Struthio camelus: one gene and its partners. The protein of the gene in region 1 interacts with the protein of each later gene in a pairwise test. Links are inferred from orthologs where the notes say so. Each region holds a gene or a part of one and is shown in the gene's direction. Other genes may lie near its edges.

Evidence for each region.
Region 2: the proteins of LZTS2 (region 1) and NEK6 interact in binary tests that used the Homo sapiens proteins (3 or more experiments, as listed by UniProt). The two-hybrid records come from large-scale screens. The link is inferred for Struthio camelus from reciprocal best matches to the Homo sapiens genes LZTS2 and NEK6.
Region 3: the proteins of LZTS2 (region 1) and MORF4L1 interact in binary tests that used the Homo sapiens proteins (3 or more experiments, as listed by UniProt). The two-hybrid records come from large-scale screens. The link is inferred for Struthio camelus from reciprocal best matches to the Homo sapiens genes LZTS2 and MORF4L1.
Region 4: the proteins of LZTS2 (region 1) and STAC interact in binary tests that used the Homo sapiens proteins (3 or more experiments, as listed by UniProt). The two-hybrid records come from large-scale screens. The link is inferred for Struthio camelus from reciprocal best matches to the Homo sapiens genes LZTS2 and STAC.

The regions. Positions count from the first base shown.
Region 1 is NC_090948.1:15,894,040-15,901,767, forward strand, and holds the start of LZTS2 (leucine zipper putative tumor suppressor 2), read left to right. Parts: upstream 1-4,720; 5' UTR 4,721-4,776; intron 4,777-7,154; 5' UTR 7,155-7,223; intron 7,224-7,728. Other genes in the region: TWNK (twinkle mtDNA helicase), read left to right, coding at 472-729. UniProt on the Homo sapiens protein: Negative regulator of katanin-mediated microtubule severing and release from the centrosome. Required for central spindle formation and the completion of cytokinesis.
Region 2 is NC_090961.1:1,652,695-1,660,689, reverse strand, and holds the start of NEK6 (serine/threonine-protein kinase Nek6), read left to right. Parts: upstream 1-4,994; 5' UTR 4,995-5,009; coding exon 5,010-5,111; intron 5,112-7,995. UniProt on the Homo sapiens protein: Protein kinase which plays an important role in mitotic cell cycle progression. Required for chromosome segregation at metaphase-anaphase transition, robust mitotic spindle formation and cytokinesis.
Region 3 is NC_090953.1:1,357,406-1,364,563, forward strand, and holds the start of MORF4L1 (mortality factor 4-like protein 1), read left to right. Parts: upstream 1-4,150; 5' UTR 4,151-4,267; coding exon 4,268-4,307; intron 4,308-7,158. UniProt on the Homo sapiens protein: Component of the NuA4 histone acetyltransferase (HAT) complex which is involved in transcriptional activation of select genes principally by acetylation of nucleosomal histones H4 and H2A.
Region 4 is NC_090943.1:53,929,496-53,936,581, forward strand, and holds the start of STAC (SH3 and cysteine-rich domain-containing protein), read left to right. Parts: upstream 1-4,081; 5' UTR 4,082-4,586; coding exon 4,587-4,703; intron 4,704-7,086. UniProt on the Homo sapiens protein: Promotes expression of the ion channel CACNA1H at the cell membrane, and thereby contributes to the regulation of channel activity.

The DNA.
Region 1 (7,728 bases):
ACAAATCTCTGCTATGATGCTGAGCAGCCTTGTGGTGGTGGGCAGGAGGGGCTTTTGTGAGTGTGCCTGGCCCTCCCTGCACTGCTCTGGGATCCCGGCATCTCTGGTCAGGGAGGTGGCAAACCCCAGGGCCCCAGAGAGGTGTTTGTGCCCGTGTCTGGGTAGGGAGGGCTGGGGGCCCTGCTGTGCTCTGTGGTGTGATCCTGGCCTGGGTTCATGCTTACCTTGTTTCCTCGGGGGATGTGGTGGCTTCCGTTCAAATCTGTCTGCTCTGGCAGGGTGCTATGGTGTCCTGGGGGAAGAGAGCCTGGGGCAAGGGGTTGGTATTGGGGAAGTGCTGGAGACGCTGTGGCCTGGGGCACACTGTAGTGGGGCTCACAGCAGTCAAACAGGCATCTCGTGAGCTTCTCTGAGCCATACCACTACGGCTGTATCCGCGGGACCCTTCTGGAGACCTTTTCCTTCCTGCAGGCCAGCCAGGAGGCAGACAACGTCCTCATCCTGCAGGACAGGAAGCTGGTGACGGGGCCTGGGAAGCGGTACCTGCAGGTGTCCAAGAACCGTTTTGATGGGGACGTGGGCGTCTTCCCCCTGGAGTTCAGCAAGGCCTCGCTCACCTTCTCCTCCGCTGGCAAAAGCAAGGTCAGGCTGAAGAAGATGAGGGAGGAGAAGGCGCCTTTATCCAAGAAAGCTCCAGCTGGAAGCACGGGGTCTTCCAAGAAGCCTTGAGTCTGGCTACTCCCTTCTTTGGTCTGTCAGGAGGAACTGGGACTGGTGCTAGCAGCATGGGGCTGGGGTATGCCAGCCCGTCTCCACCAGGAACGGCAATAACGTGCTGCTGTTTGTCCTTTTTCCTCCTACGCAAAGAGGCCTCTTGGCTGCAAAAGCAATCTCACTGGGAGAGATGTGAGGGCCGTGGTGGGAGGACGAATGGGATCCTGCTGGAGAAGAGGAGCCTTTTTCTTGCTGTGCTGCCTCCCAACTGCCCAGGGATGGAGAGCTGGGGGCGGTCCTGGCTCCCTGCAGGCTGCCGCTGGCGGAGGTGCTCCTGGTGCAGGGCAGATGCTTTTCTGTGTCCTAGACAGATGTTTTTGCAAATTTTGGTCACTTGATCTTGGTGCTGAGTGCTGAGAGCGTGGAGTGGGCCATGGCTTGGGTGAGGGCCCAGGGGCAGTAACCTGTAGCCCTGGGGCTCTGGGCTTGGAGCATTTTATTAACGTGCTGCTAAACTTGTTGGGCCAAAATTCTGGGCCATCGTCGTGGACCCCACGAGAGGCCGCATGGTGGGACTGCGGAGACCTCCTCCTGTCTCGGATAGGGATTTCAGGAGTGCTGTGCTCGGTCCTGACTGGGATGGGGTCAGCAAGAGGGAGGTTGTAGAGGGATGCTGAGGGATACTGTGGATGGCCCTTGGCCTGGGGTGCCTGGAGCTGGATGGTCTCTGCTGGGAGCCTTGTGAAGCCCTGACAAAGGTGGGAGCTGCCACCCCCATGGTGGTGGCGCCTGAGCAGTGAGGATGGAAATGTGGCAGGTTGAAGGCAGGGTTTGCTTCCTCTTCTGCTGGCCAGCAGGTGGGATGTGCAGCTTGCCAGCTCTGCCTGCTCGACTACTGCCCTTTGCCCCAGGACGCCCTGGTCTACCCTGTCCTGTCTCTCCACTGTGGGCATCACCAGCAGTAAAACCCCTGGGGGACCCCCCCCGGGCTTGGCTGGAGAGGGGTGCCAGCATTCTGGGCCAGCGGCTTTGGGCAGCCCTGGAGCCAGGCGTGCGCTGTGGTCTCCCCTCCTCTTGGCCCTGCTTTCACCCAGGGCTTTGAATGTGGCAGCAGTGGTCCAGAGACTTTTCAAGTCCATCCCCAGGGACCCTCTTTCAAAGCGTTTAGTGGTGAACACTGTGACCTGGCTGGTCCTTGCCGTGGCAGGAAGAGTCCACGGTCGGATCTTGGTCCAATCCTTTTGTTTTCCTTTATAGTTTTATTAAAGCAGAAATCTGAGTGCTGTTCCTATGCTGCTGTCCTTTGCTGCCTGTGATCACGTCACCCTTTGGCTGGGGGGACCCTGGTCAGGGAGGCGATGTCCTTGAGGGGCCCTTGCCGGGCTGGGCATGTCTGCCCCACAGGGAGTTTCCAGGGCTCAGGCTCAACTGAAATCTGCCTGTGGGCCTCAACAGCACATTTCTGCCCCCGTTCAAATGGGGACTGGTCTGCGTTTCCTGGGTTTGGAGCCTAGGGACCAGGTTGGTGCCATAAACTCCTGGGTGGAGGAGGACAAACAGAGGGACAGGGTTATGGGGATGTCTTGACAAGAGATGCTACTGACTGGGACGCATGCCAGAACATCCCACCCTAAAGATAAGCAGCGAAAGGAGAGAGGCCATCGATGGGGCTGGGACCTCCCTTGGGTCTGTTCTGTCCAAGGTCCCTCACCAGCCTCTTCCACCCTCCTTGGAGGCAGCACGATGGGCTCTGGCGGGGAGGCCTGGCCATGCCTGTCCCCTGGACTTTGTCCAGGAGAAGTCCCTGCTTTCTCCCCTCCACCCCCTCTCTCACCCAGGGCAGCCAAGGGGGCAGCGGCTGGCCCGGATGCCCGGGGAGGTTAGCGCAGGCAGGGAGGAGGGTGCTGGCTGGGGCTTGCCCACAGCTCTCCCCGTGGTCACAGCCCATCACCGCCGTGTGTTTAGCCCGGCACGTGAGTTATTATCTGCCTCCGCACGGGGCATAGTTTTAACCTGAGCCATAATGAGGGGCTGGGGCGGGCAGGCGGTACACACCCAGCTGCTGTTTTCTGGGGTGCACCAGCTCCCTGGGGCTGTTAAAGCACCCTTGGGTGCTGTTGGCGCAGGCATCGGGAGCCTGAGGAGGGAGTTTGGCTAGGCCCCCAGGACAGGCCAGGGGTGCAAGAAGCAATGGAGGAGGGTCTCGGTTGTGGAGCAGATCCTGGCCAAATGGAGGTAAGGTGGGGGGCAGCGGGCTGTTGGGGAGGGAGCTGGGGCAGAGCTTGGCGGTGTTATGGTGTCTCCTGTGCATAAGGCGCTGTACAAGCACCACAGCCAGGCCCTGGGCAGGTCTGGTGGCATCACTGCCCTGGTGGCATTTCTCCCCAGTGCCAGGGTGATTCCAGTGAGGATTTGTGTGGAGGCAGGCAGGTGCCAGGCTGGGGTTCGGGGCATCCACGCTCAGCCCAGGTGCACCCATCCAGCTCGCTGGCCTCAGTTTCCCCTTGATCCAGCCAAAGGACGATGCTGTTGGGGGGGGGGGGGGGGCTGCAAGGTTAAAGGACTAGGAGTGGGGCAGACCTCACAGGACTATGTTCTGCGCAGGGTGCATCCTTGCACCCTCCGAGCTGGGGCAGCAGGGCACCCTCAGGACCACCGTCTCCCTCCTTATTTACCCCTCAGGGCTGGGAAGGGGGCGGTGGAGCCGAGCCCTGGGGGCAGGGGGGTCCCAAGCAATGGGACCACTGGCCTTGGGAGGTCCCAGCCCTCCTCCCTCCCAGATCCGTCAGGGACCCCCTGGGTGGGCGATGTGTCCCCGGGCGCCTGCCGGTTGCACCTGCTCAAGGGGTGCCCGCCGCTGAATCCAGCCCCGCGGCTTTCCAAACTGCTGCTGTACTGATTTTCTTTCTCCGTTGTCTCCCAGTTTGGGAGCTCTCAAAGAGCGGGTGGGAATAGCTGCAAAATCCCACCCACGGTGGGGGGCAAAACAGAGACACGGGGCAGAGCCCGGCCACCGTTCCCCTGGACAAGGTGCTGGGGGCACCCCAAACACCTCTGGGGGACGACTCCTTCAGGGCGGCTTTGGGGGGTTTCCGGGGGTTTCGGAGGGGCTCGCCCAGGCTCTGGGGAGCCTCTGGGGAGCCTGGCTGGCCGAACGCGGGGTCGGCCCCGGGGGGGGAGCTGCCGGCGTGAGTCCCCTCTCGGGGCTGGGGCCGGGCTGAGCGGGGCGCCCCAGCCGTGGGGCACCAACAGAGGGCCACAGCCCCCGGCACTGCTCCCCACCCCACTGACCCCCACCCCGCAGCCCCCATGCAGGGCCCCCCACTGCATGGCACCCCAGCCCCGTAGGCCCCATACAGCACCCCCGCCCCACCGTGTGGCACCCCCCCCCCCCATAGCCCTCATATAGCACCCCTGCCCCATAGCCCCATGCAGAGCCCCCCAATGCACAGCACCCCCGCCCCATAACCCCCACACAGCACCCCCATCCCCATGGCCCCATGCATGACCCCTCACTGCACAGCACCCCCGCCCCATAGCCCCATGCAGGGCCCCCCAATGCACCCCCGTCCCATAACCCCCACACAGCACCCCCGCCCCATAGCCCCATGCAGGGCCCCCCAATGCACCCCCGCCCCATAGCCCCATGCAGAGCCCCCCAATGCACCCCCGCCCCATAACCCCCACACAGCACCCCCGCCCCATAGCCCCATGCAGAGCCCCCCAATGCACCCCCGCCCCATAACCCTGTGCAGGGCCCCCCACTGCACGGCCCGCCCCCAGCCCCATACAGCACCCCCGCCCCGCCGCGCGGCACCCCGAGCCCCACGGCCCCCCCCCCCCCGGCCCCCGCCGCGCAGGGCGCTCCCCGGCCCGGCCCGGCGCTGCTGCCGGCGGCGTCGCTGCCCCGCGCCCCGTCCGTAGGGCGCCCCCCTGCCGGGCTCCCGCGCCGAGCCGGGCCGGGCCGGGCCGGGCCGGGCCAGGGGGGCCGGGGGCGGCGGGCGGGGCCTGGCGCGGGCCGGGCCGGGCCGGCGCGGAGCGGAGCGGCGGCGCGGGGCGAGCGTGAGTGCGGGCTGGGCCGGGCCGGGGGGCGCCGCGGAGCGGGGCGGGGGCCGGGGGGGCTCTGGGGGGCCCCGCGGGGGGCGGCGGGGGTGGCAGAGGCCTAGGGGTCCTGGGGGGGTACTTTGGGGCTGTTGTGGGGCAGTTGGGGGGAGCTATGGGGCAGCAGGGGCCCAGGTGCTCTGTGGGGCACTTGGGGGGGGCTGTGGGGCAGCCGGGGCCTAGGGGTCCTGGGGGGGCCTCTTGGGGGTGTTATGGGGCACTTTAGGGGCCCTGTAGGGCAGCAGAGGCCCAGGAACTCTGAGGGACACTTTGGGGGTCCTGTGGGGCGCTTTGGGGGGGCTGTGGGGCAGCAAGGGCTTAGGGGTCCTGGGGGGGCCTCTTGGGGGTGTTATGGGACAGCAGAGACCCCAGTGCTCTATGGGGCACTTTGGGGCTGTTGTGGGGCACTTTAGGGGCCCTGTGGGGCAGCAGAGGCCCAGGTGCTCTATGGGGCACTTTGGGGGTTTTGTGGGGCACCTTGGGGGGGGCATGGGGCAGCAGAGGCCTGGAGGTCCTGTGGGAGCACTTTGGGGAGGTGTTGCGGGATGGCAGAGGCCTAGATGCTCTATGGGGCTCTTTGGGGCTGTTGTGGGGACACTTTGCAGGTCCTGTGGGGCAACTGGGGGGAACTATGGGGTGGCAGAGGCCCAGGAGCTCTGTGGGGCACTCTGGGGGTGTTATAGAGCAGCAGAGACCCCAGTGCTCTATGGGGCACTTTGGGGGGGTGTCATGTGGGGCTCACTGGGGGGTGCGGGGCACTGAGGGGCAGGCAGGCAGCAGTGTGGGGCAGCTGTGAGTTGCTGTGGGTCGAGGGGACGGAGCTGTGGGGCAGGCGCGGGGGGGGGGGTGTGGGGTCGGTTGGGGGGCACTGCGAGGGGCGTGTGGGGTCTGAGCCCCCTCAGAAAGGTGCGGGGGCCCCGAAATCTCTGGTGGCCCGAGGTGGGAATCCCGCGGCAAGGCCGGGAGCGCGGCGGGGATGAGCTTCCCCGTGCCTGGCGTTTGGGAGCCGGAGGATCCTGCTTCCTTGTGCTCCCACCTGAGTTCGCCGGCAGTGACGCCGGCCCAGTTACTAACTGGTTTTACTGGGGAGCTCAGAGCTGCCTGCCGGCCCGCTCGGCGCCGCCGGGGCGTTTCGCAGGCCGCGCTCGCCGCCGGCAGGCCTGGCGAGTCCCCAGCTGAAAGTTTCCGTCCTCCAGAGGCCCCGGCCTGCCGGACCCTCCCTGGAGGCGGATCGGAGCTTGCGGGAGGGTGAAGAAGGATCCCTTCTCCGCAGCCGCAGCTCCCGGGATTCACGGCGGGGGATGCGCGGTGGGGTGGCACCCCCAGGGCTCCCTGTCCCAGGCTGGGAGCTGATCTGCAGCCGGAGAGAAAAGGAGCCGTCGGGCTCTAGTGGTGGCCTTGTCCCCTTGGGGGCTGGCAGGGTGCTGGGATCCAGCTGCAGGACAGGGCAGGGGGTTATGTTTAGCAAGGAGGGGTCCGGCAAAGAGTGGGAGGTGAGGCGGTGTGAGGTGCCCACGGGCTGGCTCCCCATCGCCGTCCCCTTGCCGTGTCCCCTACTGAGTGCAGGGAAAGGAGCCGGAGGGGCTGGTGAGGCAGCGCAGGGGCTGTGCAGGAGTTTCCCAAGCGGGATGTCGCCCACAGATCACCATGTTTGATAATCCCATTCTTGGGGGGTGGGGGGGTGCCAGGACCAGCATACTAGACCCTGGCATCTTTGGCCATCCGCTGTGCCGCGCTGGCGCTGCCCGTCCCAGACCTGCCGGCCGGAGAGCTTTGGCAGGGCTGGAAATGGTGCTGGGGGGCCTGGCAGCTCCTGAGCAGCAAGGAGCCCCGGCTGCAGGGCAGGGCCGGGGTCAGCCCTTCGCCTGGCTCTGCTGGCGGGGACGCTGGGCCCGGGATGACCGAGCCCAGCTGGAGGCCCTGGGCACAGCGGCCTACGCACGCCCCGCTGTTAGCCCACGGCTGAGCGCGCAGGGCTGTGCCAGTCAGCTGGCATGGCAAGCTGGTTTCTGTCCTCTGCCATCCAGGAGAAGGCGGGCAGGTGCTGATGCATGGCCCCAGTGCCCTCCCTGCTTTCCCAGCCCTGTGGCGGGGGTACGGTACCACCGGTTTGGGTGGAGATGCTGGGTAGGGTGCAGATGGGCAGGGCTCTGCCTGGCACCTCTGCAGGGCTTGGTAGCAAGCATGTCAATTTGGGGGAGTGGGTGCAGGACTGGTCCTTGGAAGCTGCAGGGGGTGCAGTGAGCCCCCCCATCTCCCTTCGGGCCCTGATGTGGGGTGATTTGGGAGTGGGTGCTTTTTGCACCCTGACCCCCTCCTCTTTCTTTTTCCTGCTGCAGGGGGTGACTGAGCTGTGTTCGCGGAGCAGGGACCTGAGCGGGCCAGACGAATGGGCAGCGACTGGCGAGGTGAGCGGAAGGCCGTCACCCGCACCCCCGTGGCGGCAGCGCTGGGGCATCGGGCTGGGTACAGTGGAAAGTCGCCGTGCCCGGGGAAGGCACGTGCCCGTGGTGGTGGAGGGGAGGGGAGGGTGCTGGCAGCCCGGCCCCTCCTGCTCTGCCCTCCCCGCCTGCTTGCCCCCTCGGGCGCTGGCAGGCGGATTGATTTCAGGTGACAGCTCAGCAGGCGAGACCATGCGGGCAGCAACCCCCCTTCCTCGTGCCCTGTGCCAGCTGCAGCCATGTGCGAGATGCGATGAGGCAGCGGGGGACGGATCCGGCCCGTCGGCTGGCTCATGTCACGCGGGCGTATGGTGTGGGCCGGGGAGGGGGGGCACGCACCGAACGCGTGCGCCCAGGGCATGGGCCGCAGGGCAGCAACAGGGGCACTCGCAGAGCCCCCAGACTGGAGAGGGGCAGGCAGCGTGCTGTGGGATTGGGAAAGAGCTTGGCAACTGCTTTATGCCCTGCTCGC
Region 2 (7,995 bases), on another chromosome or scaffold:
GGTGTCGGTGTTTCTGACCGTCCTCTCTAGACAGCCGTACGTGCAGCGGCAGGACGCCTGGAGGACTCTGCAAACCCGCAAGGGTTAGGGCACAGCGCAAAGGGCATCGGCGTCTCGGGCGTGTTCCAAAGAACGGAGGTCTCCTGGCGCGGGGGGGTCTTGTTCTGGACGCCCCTTTCTGCCTCTAAGGAAACAGCTTCCTCTTGCACACCTGCCTTTGCCATCCCGTGCAGGTCGCAGTTATAATCAGCTCCACACTAACTGCTTACATCAATTGAACAGGGTTGGTTAGAGGATTTTTTTTTAATTGTATTTTTTCTTAACTGGCAACAGTCCTAGCAGAAACGAAGTTATACTAGCGAAAAGTGCTCGTGCTTGCGTAGCTTATTTCATGTGCTGAACTGGTATTGGTATCAGTTACAAGCTGGCACTAGCAGTTTCCTGCTGTGATAGGACCTCGGTGCTAGGCTGGTTTACTGTCATGCCAGCAAACTTCTTCTGCTGTAGCTAGGCCTTGGATTACAAAAATTGACAAAATATGAGCAATCAGAAATATTTCTCACCAGATATGCTCTCTGTTACTGTATGCCTTTCACCCAGTTTAGACAATTAAATGAGAGCTGTTAGTTTCACTTTTATTTATTGTTAAGTTCAGTTTCGAGTTTTTCTTCACTTGTAAAAAATACTGTTGAATTTAGACTTAAGTATACTAAGGTTACTAATGCTTTTGTCTTCATCTACAAAGCACTGCAATTCGTGAATTTAAAAAGGAAGAAAAAATTTCCATTTGATTAAAAAAAAGGTTCTACTGAATTCCTAAGATCATATATTTTAGACCTAGACCCGTTTAGACCCCGATTCCTGCAAAAAAAGTCATGCACTTTGCTTTAGACATGTGACTACTGCTCTTACGATCATTACGGCTACTCCTTCTGTTGGTGATGTTTAGCACATGTCTTTGCAGGAGCAGAGCACCTAATTACATGTCCCCATAATTAACGTTACGTAAGAGGATCAGCGAAAGACAAATGAGAATACTGCGAAGGAAAGTCTTAGCTGTATAATTTTGCCATTGTTGCAACAAATTTCTAATTCTGTCACTGTCGCCACTCAGTTTGTATTAGCCCCGCAGCGGGGAAGGAACTAATCCCTGGGATCATGAGTGAGAAACCAGAGGCTGAAATTAAAAATGGGGAAGTTTGCAAATGAGCACTGCGCAGTTTTCGGGGAAGGACGTGGGCACTTCTGACATGCGAGGCCCTGGCAGCGGTAATTTTCCGGGGGAGTAAAGGCCGCGAGCCGGCGCGCTGGTGGGAGGGCTCTGCTAATTCTGTTTTCCCTAGGCTAGTTTTGCTTTTGCTGTGACTCATCTCAGGACATGGAAAAACCCACAAGTTAAAACGGAAGTAAAATCGGCGCAGGTAAACGCTCTCCGTGCCGCCGGGGTCGGCGCCCGGGAACCGAGCTGGCTTTTGGGCGGACTTCAGGCGCTTTGGTGCCGCCGCGGCCGCGCAGGGGCCGGAGCCGGGGCCGGGGCCTGCGGCGCGGCCGCCGGGCGCGGGGGAGGCCCGGGCGCCGCGGGCAGCGGCGGCGGCGGCGGCGGCAGCGGCAGCGCCCGGCGCCGCCCCGGGGCCGTCCCGCCGCGCGCCCCCGAGCCGCCCGGCCTGCGTGGCAGCCGCGAGCGCGCGTGCCCGCGCGCGCCGCCGCCCCCTCCCCCAGCGCGGCCGGGCCGGGTGAGTGGGGGGGCGGCGGGGCCGCGCGGCGGGCTGGGCGCGGGGCCGGGCCGGGCCGGGCCGGCGCGGGCGCGCGGGAGGCGGGAGCGCGCGGCGAAGTTGTGTCCGGGACGCGGCGCCGCTCGCTCGGTGCGGGGCTGTGGGGCCGCCGCCGGCTCGGGCGTCCGCGCTGCCCGCCCCGAGGGGCCGCGCCCGCACGGCCACGGGCGCTCCGCAGGTAAGGGGCCGCCCGCGCCGCAGCACAGCCCGCCTCGGCGGGAGGGCCGCGGGCCGGGCCGGGCCGGGCCGCCGGGCCGGGGGTGTGCCCGCCGCGGCTGCCGGCCGGGAGCTGCCCGCCGGCGCGGGGAGGCGGCAGCCGCGGCCGGGCCGCCCGGGCGGGCCGGGGCGCCGCGCGGGCGGGCGCGCGCAGCGCACCTGGCTGCCGCCGGCCCGGCCCGGCCCGGCCCGGCCCGGCCCGGCCCGGCCCGGCCCGGCGCGGGCGGGCGGGCGGGCGGGCGCTGCCCGGCCCGGCGGCGGGAGGCGGAAGGCGAGGCGAGGCGCGCGGGTCCCGGCCCGAGCCGCAGCGCGCCGCCCCGGGGGCTCCGGGCCCCGCGGCGCCTCGTGGCCGCTCCTCTGCGCGGGGTGCCGGCGCGCTCGCTCGCTCTGCGGCTAGCTAGCACGTGCCTGGGCAAAAGTGAGAAATAAACGGAGATGTCGTCAAAACTAGGACAAATTTGGATCTTACTCGGTTGCTTTCCAGAGAGGTGTTGTTATATAGCGTTGTTTTAAGATTTTAGCAAAGTTAAAATACTGTAAAATAGGAATACTTGCATAGTTTTGTGTGGTGTATGTGTGATGACACTTTTTTCTTTTTCCTTCTTTTTTTCTAACCTTAGAAACAGTAGTGCTGCCAAACACTCATGCCTTAGCTTAGTGGTTCCCATACAAGTTCCGTTTGCATGCCACTCTAAGTGACACTGCCATATGAAAAAGGCCCATTATGTCCTTTTTATACGTTTTTTTTTTCCTTATCTTTTCTATGAGATTCTTTGTGCTCTTGTGTTCTTGCAGCTCATGAAAAGAACTTTACAATTCTTTGGGAGTCCCTAGACTGCAATTTGAGAACTTTTCTTTAGGTGCTTCGTATTTTTCATCTCTTTTGTCTGCCAGCTCCTGATGTCCTCCTGAGCACTTTACGGGAGAGGAGCATACATATTCTCAGAACGCTTTATTTTTTGTTATCTTTAAAAAATAGGAAGTCTGAAATAAAACCAGTGCTTCAGGGATTACAGCATTGCCTTCTAGAGAGAGTATATGCTGTTTGAGTTGAACTGCAAAATACCATTTTCTTCAACATGTTATTCACTCCAGAGTGCGATAGATACTTGTTGAGAATAATGGTGGACTTTGGAGCTCCATCTGTTTGTCTGTTCACACACGCAAAATATTTCTGCCAATGATAATTGCCTATGGCATCATTGCGCTACAAGTAATTTGATGGGAAATATTGTAACAATTAGAAGTCCAGTGATGCAAGTTCCTGACACATTGTGAATGACTTGCTGTCATTTCTATGTCTCCTTTAAAAATTCATTATTGTGAATCATTGTAAGCAACTGTTTAACTTGCGGCATTTATACTGTTTTCATGTTTTGATACATCTCTTGACATTGAGTCAAAACTCTTTCCGCTGTTACTTTTTTCCTGTCGACATTCTCTGTGACAGTCATATTCTTTTAAGCAGCAACAGAAAAAAGGAGGAAAAAAAAAAAAAAAGAGGAACTTGTCTGAGATGTGAACGTTGCTGCCCCGTTTCCTATGGCTTTATGACTTAGACGCATAAAAATGGGGGTTGGGAGGAGAGGAACTTCTGTTATGGTGGAAAAGGAGCGAGCGTCTTCTGTGGGAAGCGAGATTTCTAGACTGGATGTGAGTGACGGTTACCACCCCAAGAGGAACTTGTCAGAACAGAATGAACATTTTCCGCGCGTACAAAGCACTTTTGTTTATTTTGTTTCCCTGCTGCCTCTGGAATTCTGTTTCTTGACAAATGTGTGCTTTATGAGAGAGGAGGGGCACATAATTTGAATATGAGTTTTAATATATATCTTTAAATTACTTAGTATGTATTTTGTTAAGAGAAAAACAGGTGAAATTGAGTAAGTCACACTTTAAACCCATGCTGGGAACCGGACATATTTTGTAATACCTGCCTCTTATGATCCTGCCCAAAAGTTTTAATGTCAATATGTAATACTTATGCGTATATTGATATTATTGAGCCTGTATTGACTCTTTTCTTTGCTCCTAGTAATGGAGGCTGTGCCACAGAAAATAGTGGGAAACCCGGAGATTTATCTCACAGCATGTTTTCTGGCTTTATTCAGACCTAGCTGTTTGTCTGAAGGTCCCTTTAAATGGCTTTGAAAAGTTTTTTTTTGCGTGCTGAATGATCTGTTAATAATTATTTGTTCAATGAGCAATTTTTTGAAGTGGGGATAGGAGCAGACATAGCTGACTTTATGCATTTTCTGCCTTCTTAGCTGTAAAATCGGGATAGTTATTAACAAATTGACCTCCACCTCTGAAGGTGTGTACGCTCTCTGTAGAGGTGTAGGAGATGAGTTGGTGGATATATTTCACGTTTCCTCCTACTTTCTGTGCTGTCAGATATGTTTAAGCTCCAAGTTATGGAACATACATACTTAAAAAACAACATGGCAATACAGACTAGACAGTATGAACTGCAGCAGTCAGCAAGTGGGGCAGGCAGTAAAAATTAATGTATTCATTCCAAATTTAAGGCAAGAAAATTGTTGTTGGAAGAGAAGGAGAAGTACTAGATAAAGATGCCAAAACCTGAATGATAGAGCTGGGCATAATTATAACATCTGGGGCTTGATTTTTTGCTTTTTTCCTAAGTGAAAGCCCGGTTGGGATACCCACTGTTACAGAAAACAGGTTTAATAGCTGGACTTGGGTTTTTAACTTCTGTCCTTCTAATTCACTTTTCTTAGATGCTCTTGCTATGGAAGAGAACATTCATAGCAAAGAAAGCCGTAACAATTGCCTTTATCTTTGGCTAATGAGCAAAATAAATAAATGGAACCTCATTTTAGAAGTTTTTTAGTATTCTTTTCTTTTACTATTCTGATATTTAGTATTATTAAAATTCAACACTTATCTAGGTGAAAAGCAGCCATGATGCTATTAGAGTTTTGAGCACAGAATTAAGATTAAGGGAGTCATGAATATGTATTCTTGCTCTGACACAAACTCCTGCATTTGTCTTGGAAAATGACCAAACGTGTCTATTTTACCTTTTATGTGAACACTGGTGACTGCTTCAGCATGCACCTATCCGGACACTCTGCTGGGCTGTTTGCAGGAAATTGTGCGGTACGTGTCTTTGTATCCTGGTCAAAGGCAAGAAGTCTGTGACAAGCAGTGACCGTTATTATGCGATGCCGTTCATACTGTTGCAGCGTGCTGAACGAGAGGTGTGAGAGATGGATGCTGACTGTAAGAAACTGGTTTCAAACGTAGTATGTGGAGACGTTTGATTTGAAAAATACTCGTCACTAACAGCTTTCAACTTGTTTCTGCTTGTGAAAACCCTTTCAGTCACTTTTGATAGTGAGTAGCTTCAGCATAATGTTTAGGATCTTAAAGGACAGAGTTCATGAAAAATGTTCCGGTGTATAATATGATTCAGTTACAGTTAGAGGTGTCTGTGGAACAGACTTATTTAGAGATAGTAGCAAGATATACGTGTATATATATGTAAAATATATGTAAAGAAATAGATCTATATATCTATATATTTTTGAGGAGCAAGTCAGAGGGATTCTCTCCATTGCTATCTAAACATGATAGCGTATGTAGAGTTTGTCTGAAAGAGGTTACGTTATGTATCTACTTGCCAGACTAAGAGAGTTCTTTAGATTCAATCAGCTGTTTGTTTGGTGTCCTAATGTTTGGAGAAAAGTACTCTGGGAATGATCTAGGAATCTGACTTCTACTGTATTTAAATTGCCTTTTCTTTCTGCTTCTGTGTGCACCAAAAACATTCTTGCAGTATTGAAAGCAAACTTGCTTTCTCAAAAATAATTCATGTTTACATTGATACTGTTTATCACCAAAGGCCCTAGAAACATGACTTTCGACATGGAAATGGTGAGCTACTCTGCTATTGGTTAAAAGACAGGCATGGCGGTAGAGGAAAATAAAAATGTTTTCAGTACAGCTGTGCATCACTAAGCTGAACACTTGAAAAAGAAGTGACCTTTTCCAATATAAAATCATATGAAAGTTACTTTTGTCCATTTTAGATAACCTTTAAAACTTCGGCCTTTTAAAGACTGAGGCCTTCAAAACAGTTTCTTCTGTTATTAAGTCTCATTAACTCTAATATGTTTATAACAGTCAGCCCTTCTCTTGCAAAGTTTATAGTACGAGCACACGCAAGTACTTATCAAGTTCTTTGTGCTTTTCATCACTAGATCTCTAAGTGCCTTAAAAGATAAGAATAGATTATCTGCAAACTGAGGATAACAGAGTTAGGAAGGTTTGATATGTCTCAACATCCCGCCGAGTGACTGGATGGCTGAGCTGATACAACAGCTTGATGCTACCAAAAGGGACAGTTTCTCTTACTTTCTCTGTTTCCCCTGGGCCAGTGCTGGCACTCATCTGACTTTCAGTGAGCTGCTTCAGCAGAGTAAACTGGCATAAAACTATGGAAGAAAAAATGTCTTGGTTAAGCGAGGGAGTTGAACCGGTTTACCTTCTGTACTGCTGAAAGAGCGATTGCTGTTTTCCCTAGCTATGCCTCCTCCTTTCCCCAGAGAGGAATTGGTCCACAAAGGGAGCAAAGGACGGACGCAAAGGAGGGATGAGGAGGTGCACCTGGAGAGCTAGGCTAGGTCCTGTCAGTGGCCACAGTTTGGTAGATCAGCTCAGCTCAGCACGAGGCTCAGCACGAACATGCTCAGGCCCCAGTGTTGAGAAGAGGCGCTTGATCTGGTTTCCTGATTCAGTAATCTGGCCTGTGTACGCTGCTGGGTGCAGATTTTAGAATACCTTTTCAGAATTCCTGGGACAGTAGTTGTACGGTCTCTAGATGGGAGAGCAAATTAAAAATGGTGAAGTAGAAGTCCAGTAAGTTATATAGGTACGTGGTGCAACGTTTGCCTTTTAAAGGTCACCGTCTTTAAGGGCATCCAGGCTGCAGAAAGCAGACTGCTGATGCCACTTTTTTCAATACTATAGATACTTAACTTATCTTCTAGTAGAGCTATGCTAAGATGTTTACAAGTATCTTGGATTTTGATTCTTGAGCAGTGAGACATAGAGATGATGCATGAAGAAATAACAGTACATTGGATATCAGCATGGATTTGCTACTATAAATTGCAGCAGCCTCTGAAATAGGCTCCCGAAAGGAAGTGGTAGGATCCCCACTAGTGTTGAGTTTGGGCCAGACAAAGCAGCAGAGGATGCTCTTCAGGGAGCGCTAGTCTGCTGGCAGAGGAGCACGCTGAGTGTGATGTAGTAGATCTCTTCCATTTCTGGATTCCATGGTTGACTTTTGATTTGCACCTGAAGTTAAAAGGAGAAAAAAGTGTTGAAACAGAGAGGTAATGTTGGACTTGATTAATTTTTTTTTTTTTTAAGAACTTGTGTGCAAAATCTAGTTTAAAAGTATAACTTTTTTCATCATATTGAGATTGCTGCAGTATGTCTAAATTGCATAGAAAATTAAGTCCTCCAAAATACTTGTTTGAAACTTTCTTAAAGGGTTTTTGATTTTATTTAAAGCTAGATTGGAAGCTGCTGTCTTTCATCAGCTGGAACGTGGGACATGGGAACAGAGGTTCTGTGTGAGCTGTGATTAAATGGCCAGGTCTAGAACTTGTAAGCTCAGCTCTATTTAACAGGAGAAAACCATGTTTGTTTGTTTGTTTGTTTTTTAATAGTGGTTCAAATGCAGCAGTCCGTAAACCTATCAAATCTTTATATGGATAGGTAGGTCTTTTTCTATCTTGGATTATTTTTATACACACATTGGATTGGATCGGATCGAGAATACTTCAAATTCTAACCTGTGCTAAGTATTTAAACATCTGCGCTTGCTCCAGTTGCCGTAGTTCTGCATGTGTGAGAAGCCTTTTGAGTTGTATTCTTTTTAATACGTTTAAAAATGTTTCAGAAACAAACTACTTCTATTTTTTTAATTAAAAAAAGATGTTCTGTATCATTTAGCTTCTAGTGTTTAATCATA
Region 3 (7,158 bases), on another chromosome or scaffold:
GTGGCCTCCTCCCGCCCGGGCCGGCCCGGCCCGGGCTCGGCCCTGCGCCCCCCGCGGCCTGGACTGCGCCCCCCGGCCCGGCCGTCACGGCTCGCCTGGGTCAGGGTCCCCCTCAGGCACAGGGTCACCCGCGGGTCCGGGCCCCCCCGTGTCCAGGGCCCCCCGTGTCCGGTCCCCCCAGTGTCAGTGTCCCCCCAGGTCCGGGTCCCCCCTGTTCCAGGTCCCCCCCAGGTTCCGGGTCCCCCCCCCAGTCCAGGTCCCCACAGGATCTGGGTCCCCCCCAGGAGCTGGCTCACCTCAGGATCCGGGTTCTGCCCAGATCCAGGTCCCCCCGCAGTTTTGGGTCCCCCCCCCCAGGTCAGGATCCCCTCAGGATCCGGGTCCCCCCCGGTCCAAGTCCCCCCCAGGTCCAGGTCCCCCCCACTCCAGGTCCCCCTCATCTCAGGGTCTCCCCAGGATCCGGGTCCCCCTCTGGTCTGGGTCCTCCCTGGATCCTGTTCCCCCCCAGGTCCAGGTCCCCCTGGTCTAGGTCCCTCCCAAGTCAGGGTGTCCCCCCCCCAGGTCAGGGTCCCCCCACAGTTCTAGGACCCCCTGGGCCCGGGCCCCCCTTGGGTCCAGGCCCCACTGGGTCCAGCCCTGCCCCTGGGTCCGGGTGCTCCCTGCGTCTGGGTCCCCTCAGGTGCCCTCCGGTTCCCTTCAGGTCCAGCCCTGTTCCTGGGTCCCCCTCAGGCCCAGATGTCCCTAAGTCCCCCCAGTCCAGGTCCCCCTCGGGTCCAGGCGCTGGGTCTGGGCCCTCATCCCTGCACCAGCCACCTCTGCGGCGGGGCAGAAATCCCCATCTGAGGCCGGGCCTGGAGTCCACCCCGGTGGCACCGCAGTGACACCATGGCAGGATAAATCACGAGGAGCTGACAGGGTGCACGGAAACCTCAGCTACCTCGGCTGTGGTGACCCGCAGCGCCTCTTCCCAGCCAGGCGTCCTTCGGGCGCGCAAGGGACGGTGGCCAGAGCCACGGTGTGCCAGCTGCGGGCCCCTGGGGTTTCCGCCAGAGCCGGAGGAGACCCAGCCACCACCCAGGCATGGGCAGAGCTCTCACTCTGGCATTTCGGGAGGAGATTCTAGGGCCTTGCGCCCGTCCGAAAGCAGAGAATTTATGCAACGTGCCACAGAGACAGGAGCAGGCTGCCACTGCCAAAGCCTTTCCTCCCTACACCTTGATCCTGTCAGCAGCCGAACTTACGTGGGCGCTGCGCTAGGTGATGTTCGTTCCTCAAATCTCATCAAATGCAGATGTAGCATAAGCTGGAGGGAAGTAACAGAGCTCTCTGCCTGCTCCTCGTGCTGTGTTTAGCAATCCAGGTCTTTGTGCGGTGTAAAGCAGCAAAACCTCTGCAGTGAGCATCAGCGCTTGGAGGAAAGCCTGTTAGCTTGCTAGAAAGCATCTCTCCGTGCTTCCCGCCTGCTAACTGCACGGCTACAGCTCGTCCACGGGACTGCTGCCTCTCACCCCCATCTCACGGCAGTTCTGCAAAATATCAATGAAAAACATGTCACTTCTTCGATGCTTTACTTAGGATGTCATTTTCCCAGCTAAAAATACCTAAGGTATAAAGTCTGAGGCTTTCCCCTCTTATGTAGTTTTTTTCTTTTCTGGATAAAATGAATGGGAAATATAAAACTTGGATAATTTGGTTCCATTTAAATAACTCCTTGGCAGGGCATTTGGACTGCAGGAAATTAGAGTCCTTTCCTCATTAAATACATCTGATTGTTGTTAATGGCATACGCTATTTGTAGCATTTCCTCTGCCTGTTCCTTCTGCACTTCAGGAACTCACCACCTAGTCCTATCTATTTAAGCCAGAAGAGTAAAATGTTTAAAGAATAACAAAACCGAGTGTTTAGTTTCAGATAAGTGCATTCTGAAAGACTGCCTGTGAGTGAGGTTTAATAGGTTTATGAAAATAGAGTTGTTCCATCTTCCTTATGTGGCGCTCTGACGTTTTTTCAATGAAGTAGTTCTTAAAAGCGCAGGCAACTCCGAGCGCAACTCAGCCATAATACATCCCAAAATATATTTTTGCATGGGGCGAAACGCAGGTAAGAATATTTTACACAGTCTGGGCCTGCTGGAGGCTGTCCCACTGCTGCGCTCTTGTGATTTCCTGTAGTGATCTGGGCACACAGAGCCCAGGGGAGTGGATGCGCCATTATTTTAACGTCCATCTGACTCACCATTCCCAAGATCAGGCATTTTGTGTCTTCTGCAAGCACTAGAGAGGAAAAAGATCGATTCTGAAAGCATGCTGTCATTTAAATACAATTGCTCTTGAATGGCTCTGAATGCTTTCCAACAAGGCACACAGTCCTACCCCGCGACTGGCGTACCACGTGCTGCGGTGTTTGCAGTAGTTTAGCCAAAGAGAAACGGCAAGTCAGGCCACTTTTGCCTTTTACTTGGCAAATATCTTCCAAGGAGGGGCACTGAAACACAGCAGTTACATCCGCACATTGGAAAGGATATGTGTATTTAGATGAGGAACCAACACATTTCTGGGAAGCAAAATAAAGTAATGCGCAAACAGCTGAGCCATTCCCAGTCTTTATGGGGATTTCTGAAGCGCCTCTGACCCGCCGCGCACCCGCAGGCCAAGGCAGGGTGGGACTGCACAGCCTCACACCAGTGAGAAGCTGTTCTTCTTTAGCCACGAGGCAATGTGCTGAGGTGTTGTGAACAAAGTGGTATGGTGCAGAGCTGGGGCTGATAAAATCACAGTCGGAGACCATTCGACAGCTCTCCTCCTCCCCCTGAAATTACTGTAGCGACTTCGTTAGCTTGGCTTCTACTCAGGGCACGTTTCCACCCAGCAGCTGACGCAGCTCCGCCGAGCCAGAACCCGGTGCTGGAAAGCCTCAAGCCGGGCCTGGGAACACCGAGCCATTCCCGTCCCCCTCCACGCTGGACTTCTTGTTTTTCAGGAATAACATCTTGAAATCGGCGTGGACGTGCTCTGTTTCAGCGAGTGTGCCGCCTCGTGGAAAACGCAAGAATCACAATCCGTTCATTGGACACTGGAGAGCGCAGCACGGCTACACCAGGTATCTATTTATACAGGGATTAACTAACATGGTTCTCGTGTGTTCATAACCCCTGCATGCTAAAGTGAATAAAGGAAGCTCCCTGTAGAAACGCAGAATATTTTTTTGCTTATCTCTTGAAAAAACACGACTTTGGAGACTGTCTCGCATTTCCAGGCTGTACTGAAGAACCCGGCAGCTTTCCCAGGAGTTCACTTTCTGTGCTGCTCCATTTCGGTTGTCCTTGGTGGGCTACTTTATTTAAAGCGACCTTGGTTAAAATATGAAAACAGATGAAACGATCACAGGAAACCTTTTTGCAGGGAAAAGAAATAATAAACATTCATCTGCCTCTACAAACAGAGGATGTTTGTTCAAACGCGTCGGACCGGCCAACGCTCGTCGTCGTACAGGTGCAACGTAAAAGGCCTGCGGAGAGGAACCAGGGCAGGCGGCGCCAGGGGAGCATCCGCGCCGCGGCTGGGGGCTCCGGCTCCGCTCAGCGCGGGAGCTGCTCGCACCCCCGGCCGCCTCCCGGCAGCGCAGCTCAAGCAACGCCGGCGGACGGGCGGGCGCCGGGCCAGGCCGCGGCCCCGCCGTCGCCTCACGGGCCCCGCCGCCGCCTCACGGGCCCCGCCGCGCGCACGTTGCTAGGCGCCGCGGGCAGCAGAGCGGCCCGGCCGCGGCTCCCCACCGGGGCGCCCCCCCGCGGCGTGGAGGATCAGTCGCCGGCAGCGCTGGACTTGCGCGGGGTGAGGGGGGAGGAGGGAGTTAGGGCGGCGCGGTGCGCCGCCGCGCTCTTCACTACGGCAGAGGAAGAGGCTCAAATGTGGCGCCCGGCTAGCTCAGTCGGTAGAGCATGGGACTCTTAATCCCAGGGTCGTGGGTTCGAGCCCCACGTTGGGCGCAGCTTTTTTTTTCCCCCCCTCCCCATCCCGCTTCTCACAGCCACGCAACAGCGGCTCCCATGAAGCCCCTAACCGACAGTCCGACTGAGAAAGAGCTGCGCCCGCAGCCGCGCGGGGGGGGGGGGGGGGCTGGGCGAGCCGCACTACAAGTCCCAGCATGCCGCGGGGTGGCTGCGGCGCGCATGCGCGGCGCGGCGGGGCTGGGGCCGGCCGCGCGTAATGCGGCGGAGGTGGTGAGGCCCCCGCGGGGAGGGGGCGGGAGGAGGGAGAGTCACTTATAAATGGCGCCCAAGCAGGACCCCAAGCCCAAATTCCAGGAGGGTGAGTGCAGGCGGGGGGGTCGGGGGCGCCTGGGGCTGGGGGCGAAGGCGGGGGGGGGGGCGGCGAGGCCTGAGGAGGGGGCTGTGGGGCAGCTGGGGGGAGGCAGCTCGGCTTGCGCGGAGCTCGCTTGAAAGCCGCCGTGTTTAACCCCCGCCGCTGCTGCAGCCTGTTTCCCTGGTGGGAGGGCTGGAAAGCAACAAAGGAAGCGATTAGAAAGAGGTGAAAATGCTGTTGTGGGGCAGTTAGCGCAGTCTGAGGGGAGCCCGGTGCTGGGAGGCCCCAGTGCGTCGAGGACACCTGTAGTTAAACGCGGCCGCGGCCCGGGGGTGGCACCTGACAGGCCGCCAAATGGCGGCGGCGCCTGCGGGGCCGGAGCAGCCCTCGCTGGGGGCAGCCGTCGCTCTCGAGCCCTCAAGGCGAGGGCAAGTCACAGCGTGCTCCGTTTTACAGGGCTGGGGGCGCTGAGGCGAGCTGTGGCGCAGGCCTTCGGCTAGGCCGCGCTTGGGCTCCTGTATTTCTCATCCTTCAGGAGAGGGCATCGTTCGGTTTTAGCTTTCACTTCTCGGACCATACGATAGGACGATGGGGAGGGGAAAGAAATGAATCCTCTAGTCTTTGTCTGCCTTCCTGTTTCTCATCTTTCATACCTGTCAGTTGTGGGACCTTCCTCCCCCCACCTCCCCGGGTTATTCTAAATGTGCTTCGTTTCATTGTGGGTGTGGACACTTATTGGCATTAACGCTGCTGAAATCTCCTGGGTCCTCCAGGGTTTTTCACTTATTGAGTTTGAAGCATGCTTATTATTTACCCTTCTTTGCAAGGGACCTCAGCAGTTCTCCTGTAGGAGGAGTTTTGGGGGCAGTATTTGGACTACAGAGTTGGCATTTGTGGTGGAATTTATATTTACACCAAAGCACCAGATATTTTTAGGTGAATAAAGGTTAGGATTATGCTTTTGGAGACCTTGATTTTTGTTTATGTTTTAAATAGTGGCGGGGTTAGATATAGGTAAATGGAAATGCTGGGTAATGGTAGATGAAAACTTATTTCCTTCCCTCTTCCTTCTCTCACTGTCTTCTAAACAGGACATTCCTCAAGATTGTGAGTTATCTTTAAAGCACCACTTGCGAAAGAATGACTGGAAACTGGCCATTCTCTGTAGCTCAAACAACACAGTAGTTGTACATAATCTGAGAACGTGTTCAATCGTGCAGCAGCGTTCCATGCCACGCTTTACCCATGGTGTAGTCGTTAGTATTAACCTACAGGAATATTCAAGGTTTTAATGCCCAATTCACATTATAATGATTGCATTGATGTGAAGCTGAGTGAACTGGAAAAACTGAAGCTTCAGTAGAATTTCAGAGAGAAATTATGTTCATAGCTATAGGACTACAAGTGACTTAAAACTTAACTTCGGAACTAAATTTATAGACTTAAATTTTGTTTTCAAATAGAAATGTGTCTGTGGTCTCAACTGTAGCATTAAAAGGGAGAAAAGTCCTGTGAATAAACAGTTTCCTGCAGGCTTAAAACTTAAGTGCTATTATTGTGGCCCCTCAGAGCATGATAAATGAGGGGGAAAAACTGTAAACTTTCAATAAATACACCGCTAATAGTAGTACATAAACTTAGAAGTTACTTGTGTTGGCATTTTCAGAGCAACGGGTGAGCAGGAGACTGAACTTATTGTAAAAAGCTATGAGAGCCTGAAAAATCTAAATGTCAAACTGGAAGGACCGGTGGTACTTAAATACTGCACAGTTGGTCCCCCCCCGATGTCATAGTAAATTTTTGAGCTGCTTAAGGCAGACCTTTTTTCTGAGGATGCTGATGAAATTTCTGTGTTTTCTGGTCTGTTCTTAATACACCAACTAACTAGCCCACCCCTTTGGAATCAGTGGGAAGACTTAACTGGAAGTAGAATGAAGTCCTTGACGTACAGGGTAAAAAAATTCTTATTTCTATAAATACTCTGCGTGAGAAACAACTGGTGGAGTAACCAATTGAATTCTGACTTCCAAAAGCTTTTCCTAATGTGAAATCTTTGACAAGGCAGTGAATCCAGAAGATTTTTTTTTTTTTTTCCTTCCATCCAGAGCCTTATTTATATTTGAGCAGTACAAGCCAGCCAGATTCCAGCATGGAACCTAGGGAGAGAGAGAGCACTAGCATGCAACAGAAGTGCTCGGGGTAGCTTGGCGTTCAGGAGCGCTGACAGAACATGTTCAGGTGTTTTCTGTTAGCTACTCTAGCTGAAGAACTGTTCTATTACAAATACTATCTTTGGGATAATGGAATACACATGGGAGTTTCACTGTAGTGGTGTGAGTGTGGAAGAGAAATGGTCTGTAGATTCAGAGAGGAAGAAGCTTTGTGCATGTCTATATAAATCTGAGAAAGAGAAAGAACCAGTTTGGGTTTTTCTGGTTTCAAGATGACCTTTTTTGTAAAAAGAAGATTCATGCTATGCTTAAAAATAAATTATAAGAAAAATTGGTAATTTTGAAAGTCTTATGTAGAAAGAACTTGTGTAATAATTACAATAAAGAGACGTGTTATTCAGTAGTGTTAGCAAACAATATGAAGTGTGATAATAATAATGGAACTGATTATTTGCCCTGAACTTATTTATATAAACATATCTGAAAGCTTCTTTTAATGAAGGTACTGAAGTTACCTAAGTAGTTGTTCTGTGAGAAACTTGCTGGACAGATTATGTAGAAATACAGATTTATTATTATAATTTTAAAAGTTGAGAGGTATTTTTGGCAAAGTTTTGGCAGGTATTGTGTTCTTGGACTTGTTTTACTGTGAATGTTTTTCCAGTTTTCTGGAGAGCATGTGATCC
Region 4 (7,086 bases), on another chromosome or scaffold:
TTTCAGGCTAGTAGCCAACTGTGGACACTAGCTAATATTTGAGAGCACAGCCTGGTGAAAGGGTCCACCAGTATGTCTGGCCAAATGCACCTTGCTGAAAATAAAATTCCCATCACAAATGTCACCAGAGGGGAATCCTGCTGCCAGTTTTCACAAGAGACAAAATCGAATTGACTAAGAAATCAAACTACTGTGTCTCACCTGCAACACTGACAGAATGGGACTGAGGGACTTGGAGAGAAGCTGATAAAGTTACACTACAGGTGCCAGAACTCTAACCTTTTTTCTGTATCTGATGGCTTTCTGTGGCAGTCAATCTGCATCTTCGTGGAAGTTGGACTTTCGGTGGACTTTATTCCTCTTTCCTCCGAGGGCTTTGCTTTGGTGACAGCTGGCCTGATTCCTTACTGCTTTGTTCCTTTCTAAAGAGATGTACATAGTGGTTTAAAGCACTGCTGTTTGTGAGTAACATCATCTTATGTACTCCCTTATCCTGTTTTTGCTCAGGGGTATGAGATGGTTCCTGCACCAGGCAGTAAAAATGACACCTCTCTCCTTTATGCTTACTTATTATTCTCCTCTAGTAAACGCATGAGGGTCTAAACAGGAATAACACCTTTTGCATAAGTGCCAGTTTCATCTCTTTCCTCTTAGGGGAATCTAATTGTGCTCATGTACCTCTTTTGCAGAAAGGTGTTCAGATATCACAAAAGGAATGTCAGTACCAGAAAATGAACATGAAGGAATGTGGCATTGGCCAAAACACCGACGCCAGCATCATCCTGTGACTGTGGAGCTCTACAGCAAGTAGGACTTGGCAATATGGATTTAATGTGCATTAATAATCAGAGCATACACACATGGTGTCACGAGCTCTTGGACAATGGCTCTTTGCAGAAGCCCCTGTTGCCCCATCTTTGCTGGATGGTGGTGCTCCATGTAGACTAGATGAAGTTAGTGGGGGTGTTTTACAACCCTACTTTCATTCTGCTGCATAAAAACAGAGTCGGGGCAGGGAAGCAGGGGAGAATTAGCGGTGCCTTATCACGCCCCCCCTTCCTAGCACTACCTAAGGCAGCATCACCTTATCATGTCCCTCCCCCCAGCACTGTCTAAGGTGGCATCTGCCTCTGCTCCTGATCGGAGCAGTTTCTGCCCTATCTGTGCCACAGCTCCCTCCATCCCGAGGACCACTGGGCCAAGTCTTCTGGCTGTAGCCATTTAAGCCTCAGTGCAGCTGAGGAGGGGGCTTACTGACATCCTCCTGGAGCAGTGAGGCACCCTTGACTCAATCTGCAGCAGCCACTGAGGAACAACTTCTCAAGCCCCAGCTCGGAGAGATGCTCTGTGCTGCCACTCACCACCTTGGCACGTGCGGAGGGAGAGAGCGCGTAGCAGAGCACCCATGCAGGCAGCTCTGCATCACCCTGCAGGGCAATTCTTGGCTGCAACTCCAGGCAGCGACAAAGCGCTTTAATATGGTTAAACAGCTTCAGCCGGAGGCTGAGAATCTGGTCTCATGTTTTATTCATCCAAATTCCCTTTCCCCACTCCAGAAATCTACACTCATCTCTTTGCTAGCGAATCTGTTCAATTTCCTCTCGTTTAGCGCTGTGCTGCAGCGCTCGCGTTTCCGCCAAGTACTTTCACTTAGAGGCTGATCGGCACTAATCACAAGTCCAACTTCTCAAGAGTGACACGTGGGAGAGAGAGGGAAACGTAGGTTCATCTAACTTCATCAGTCTGTTTTGTTATATTGACTACTTGATTTTCAGTAACCAGCTCTTGTGCAAGGAAATAAAAATATGAGAAATCCAGCTTCTTTCCTTTTTTTTTTCTTTTCTTTTTTGGTAAGATTTTAGGTTTGACTCATATTTCCCAGGCTGATTGTCAAGTAACTGACAAATCAGTCATGGTTGACAAGTGAGTAATTTGGAGAAGAGAGGGGGTGCAGCAGGTGTCAGAACTAATTTGGTAAAACAAAAAAAAAAAAGAGTAGAGAGTGGTATGATAGTCATTTACACAGTCATGACGTTGCGAGCTTTTCATAAAAAATGTGTGCCGGATTTTACAACACTTAGAACGTTAACTGTTAACCAGCCACTTCAGCTCCATTTCAGAAGTGACCTACAAGTTCACTGTTAGAAGATGTGTTTGAACCTCTTACCATGAAAGACTGGTTCAAAACTCTCTTGGGGAACTGGAAAAAAAAACAAATTTCTCACACTGCTGGGCTCACAGAGTAGTTCTTGCAGCAGGCAGGCCCGGTGCCCTGTCCCTCAACCACAGTGCGCTAGGCAGGACCATCAGGAAGGACACCATCGCCCCAGCTGGAGCATTCAAGCACTATGGCCCTGCCAAGACCTCTGCGGCTCACAGTTGCCTTAATTCCCCCAAACTGTGAGTCTGAGCAGTCCCTGCTCATTGCTAACAGGCTAGTTTTATGGCAGCACCTAAATCTCTCTTGCTAGGTGGAAGAAGTGAGATCTGCAGCTGGGAATTCCTCCGGCTCAGAAGGGAACTCTCTAAGATTTTGCTCTATTTTAAAAATCACACCCTTGGAAATCAATTGATTCACTCTCCTGCTAAATCCACCATTCTCAGCTCTGTATTTCCTTGCTTCAATCTCAGTTGTCATTGAAGCTGCCTCAACGAGCGACTGGTGTTCTCGTTCTGATCCCCGTGATGGTGCTAGTGACTGCAGGCCAAAAAAAGGGTTGTGCTGGCAGACACCTAAGATGCACTCTTGCTCTGAAGTGGCTGTACAAATAGCATCACGGCATTTCGTGTTTATCGTCTGGTAAAGACTTCAGTATCTTATATGCTCTGTCTTGGAGAAAAAAAGCTTTTTTTCCCCATTTAACTGCTACTCCTGGAAATTCACTGGGGATTCAAAGAAAAGCTGTGTTTTCCAGGCCTCTGCATAGCTACAAAGAGTATAGAGGCTGCAGGACAATTTCTGCTCTGACTTTCATCCGTATAACCCATACTGTCTTGAAATCCTACCTTTCCTTTCACCCGTGGGTTGTTTGGGGCAGAGGGGGCCTGCGAGGCAGCCACAGGCAGCAACCGTGTTTCTAAGGGATGGGGCAAGAAGAGAGCCTGGTACCCAGAGCTACCAAATCTCTCTGGCTCAAACCTCAGCAAATCACCTCCAAATATACAGCAGTCTAGATGTACAAAGCAAGAATTTTTTTTCTGTGCACCTTTGAGAACAGAAGTGCAACTTATTGGAAACCCGTGTTTGGGTCGCTTTTTTATTTTTCCTTTAAACGAAAGGCCAGGAGGCATCTCCTCCAGCTGCATGGAGCAGCTCCTGCTCTGCAGAGCATGCATCTGGTGAGGAGCGCGTCCACTTAACCATTTGCACACCGCACCTAAAGTCAGGTAGGGAAGAGAGGTGACGTGCGCCTTTGCCGTGGATTTAAATCAGTGGAAAACTCGGGCAGGAGCCAAGCCAACATGCAAAGTTGTGGTGACCTTCCACCAGTCAGCCCGTGGCCCCAAGCGTGACTGCCGGGTGCCACATCCTGGCCAGCCACGGCCCTCGGGGGAGCCAGCAGGCCCTCCTCCCCGGCCACCTCGGCTCCAGCGCTGCCTGACGGAGGGCGATCCTGACGGAGGGCGATCCTGATGGAGCGCCATCGCTATGGCAAGCTGCAGGTATAGGGATTAGTGCAGCTCCGGGGGGGACCCTGGTCGGGTGTGCGCGCCCCACTCCGAGCAGCACTCCCCTGCCCGCACTTCAGTGTGCTTTGGGGAAGGACGAGCACGTGAAGCGGCGTCACACTTTGCCAGGGTTTTGGTGGCGGGGGGGAGGTGTTTGGCCTTTAGAAACATGGGGTGGCTATGGTTTTTAATAAACTCTTTGTGGGAGAAAGTGAGGGAACGCTCCTATTCCTCCTCTGTTTGTAGAGCTCTTTTGGGAACACATCAGACTTGTGAGAATATAAAGCTGCACTTCAAACTCTGATGCCCTCCGCCTGAGTGAAAGGTAAAAACGCTTGCAAACCTCATGCACGCTGCGTGCCTCTGCGCCTGCACGCGTGTGTGTGTGTGTGTGTGTGTGTGCACGCGCGCAGCACTTTCTTACACTACTATGACAGCACACGCTCCTGCAAAGCTAGTCAAGGCTTTAGCAACACAACTCCTCCCTCCGGTGCCCCGTGCGGGCGAGCGGCTCGGGCGTGCTGCCTCGGCTCACTCCCGCCTGACCGCGGGGCTGCCCGGCACGACTCCGCTCGGGGCCTGCGGGCTTCGCGCGGAGGAAAGGAGGACCGGGAAAACGCAGAGGCAGGCACAGGACTGACCTACGGCGCCAGCGGCGACTTGCTCCCCTTGCAGCAGAATTACATCGGGGAGGAGGGGAGAGGGAGGAGGGAGAGGAAGAGGAGAGGGGGAGGAGGAGGAGGAGAAGGGAAAAAAAAAAGAAAATCCAGAGAATTCCAGGCTGGCAAATATAGTGAAACAGCATGATCGGGGTTCATTCGCTCTAGAAGAGCAGAGAGGAGAGAGGACGTTAAACCGAGAAGAGGGAGAAAGGTCTGTGGCTCCTTTCCCGGTAGGAGCAGTGTTTCAGAGGTAAAATGATTCCCCCGAGCAGCGCGACTGAAGTCAGCGTGGACACGGTGGAGAAGGAGCACGAAGTGGAGAGCACAGAGCAGCCCCCCTCTCCGGCATCGACCACCAGCCAGGAATCAAAGGTATTGAGAGAACAAGATTTTTTTCTTTTTTTTTTTCCTTCCCCCCCTCCTCCTTTCTTTGCTTTATAAAGAGATGTGTTGCTTTGATTGCTATTTGGAGCCCTGTGGCAGGGTGTGAAATAGCCTGCTATAAGCCATCTCCAATCCGACAGTCATACTTCTGAACGCTTGCAGGTCACCTGGGCGGCTCGGGGCTCTGAACGGGGAAAAGACCTGGCTTTTGAGTTGTTGGGGTTTGGGGATTTTTGTTTGTGTTTTCCCCTCAGTATTATGGGGGGGGAGGGAGAGTCAGGGAGGGGATTGCTTTCGGTTGATATTTTTAGCTATTTTCACACTAGGCATGCATCCCTTAGAAGCATCTGTTCATAGTTGGAAAGACTGGTTTTCTCACAGGCTCAGAGAAGAGAATTTTGTCTGGAGGGCTGGGGTGTTTCACCTGCCTCACCCCCTCCAGCAGACCCGTCAGTGAACTTTTGCTGTTTAGCAAGCCAGCAGTTGAAACGGGATATGAGTGATAATTTTGGCAGAAGAATCTGTATGTACGCCACTCAAAAAGGATTTTTTTTTTCCTAGCCTCTTATTTACTCATTAATTATTAAATGTGGTTCAATTCTCCTTGCTGAAAGCCAACATCCAGCTCAAATGGTGTGGCTTCTAAATTTTTAATTGACTTGCATATGAAAAGTTTTTCTGCCAGCCGGTATGTTACTTGGAAAAAAGAGAAAGGTAACCGAAGAAAATTAACCTTTCAGAATGAATGCTCTTTGCAGCTTACCTGGATAACGTACTTTTCTTATCAGTATCATGCTAGCATCTGACAGCCCATCCCATGGACCATATTCCTAGTGATGCTATGTGCTGTGCAAACATGTAAAAATGGGGAGGTCCTTGTCACTAAGAGCTTACAGCTGGGCAGTGCCTTGGGAACTACTGTGTGAACTAAACAGCTGCTTCACAGAGGTGGTTCGTGTTGCCCGTCGTTTAAAGTCTAACGTAGGAAGAATCTACGTTATTCTGAGTTATAACGAGGTTTCTGTAGAGTGCGTTGCAATAATCTGTCTGTGTGGGTAGAGTTCTGACGTGGGGTTCGGGATCTTTTTTTAGATGCTATACTCCAAGGAAGAGAGCTAAGGTATTCCCTGTGTAAAACAGGCTCTTTAAAAGAAAAGAAGTCTCACAGCATCAATAGCATCCACTATTCACCATACACATTCAGCACTACCGGGATATTGCTACGCTCTTCCTTGATAATGGGAAATGACAACTAAAAGGGTTATTTGTTTAACCTCAGATCCCCAAAGGATCCAATAGGTCAGTACCCTACCTCCCCCACAAGGAGCACTTCCCTGGAGTTGCAGAATTGCTATTTGCCCAGCAGGAAGACCATCCCTGTGCTGAGGTCCCAGAAGTGAGTGGAGCCTCCACTATATGGCCAACGCCACTTTCTCAAATGTGCTGAGCTGTGCCCAGGGCTGTGCAGGCTGCACGCTCCCTTTGCTGCGACCCTTGCTCCCGTCCTGGTACGTGGTCATGGTGCTGGAGGTACCGTGCTCATTGTGAGACTGCGACAGTGTGCTTGAGGGACTTTCCCACCAGGTCACCAAGCTCTGTGCCCAGCATACATTGACCAAAACAGAACTCCTAAAATAAGAGAAAGCAAAGTGCAGCATGCAAGATTCCTTTTGGCTGCTTGCACAACCAAGGCACTCACAAAGATGACAATAGGAATTAGGCACATCTGGCAGTAAAGAAAGAGATTACTCACTGGTTTATAATCAAATTTTATTATCCTCGGTTTGGCCAGTCTTGTGAGCGTTTGAAGTGATGCAGGGGAACAGGCAAAAGTCTATGACTGTCTGTGCAGATTAGTTGATACTATTGCTTGCATACAGACATTTTCAGTAAATATATAATCTGTGTATTTACATTTTAGGACTGCAAATATGATCAGAAAGCATGCTGTATTGTCATTTCCATAGATGGACTCAAAAGAGGCTTCTGATCACTAGGGTAATGAGATTACGTTTGGTTTTTTGTTTCTTGCAAACAGGAGGATGGAAGAATTCTCAGTGATTTTGCAAAGATGTTGTTTGTGCTGTTTTTTTCCAAGGGAACTGATGTACTTCACAAGCCAGAGGCTTTGACACATACATAAGTCAGTGTGTGCCAAGGGCCTGCGTGCAAGCTTTTATCTCCCAGTGCCCCTGCTGAGGGAGCTATCCTGTCATTCATAGAGGACTCAGCTTTCTTCAGGTACCTCTCTGTTGCATAGGGGAACAAGTCCGTGTCCGCTGCAGCTACTGCAGAGCAGTTTCAGCAGTATCTAGTTACTATAACTTGTTTCTGTGGCAAAACACTATTATAACTCCAAATATAGGAATAT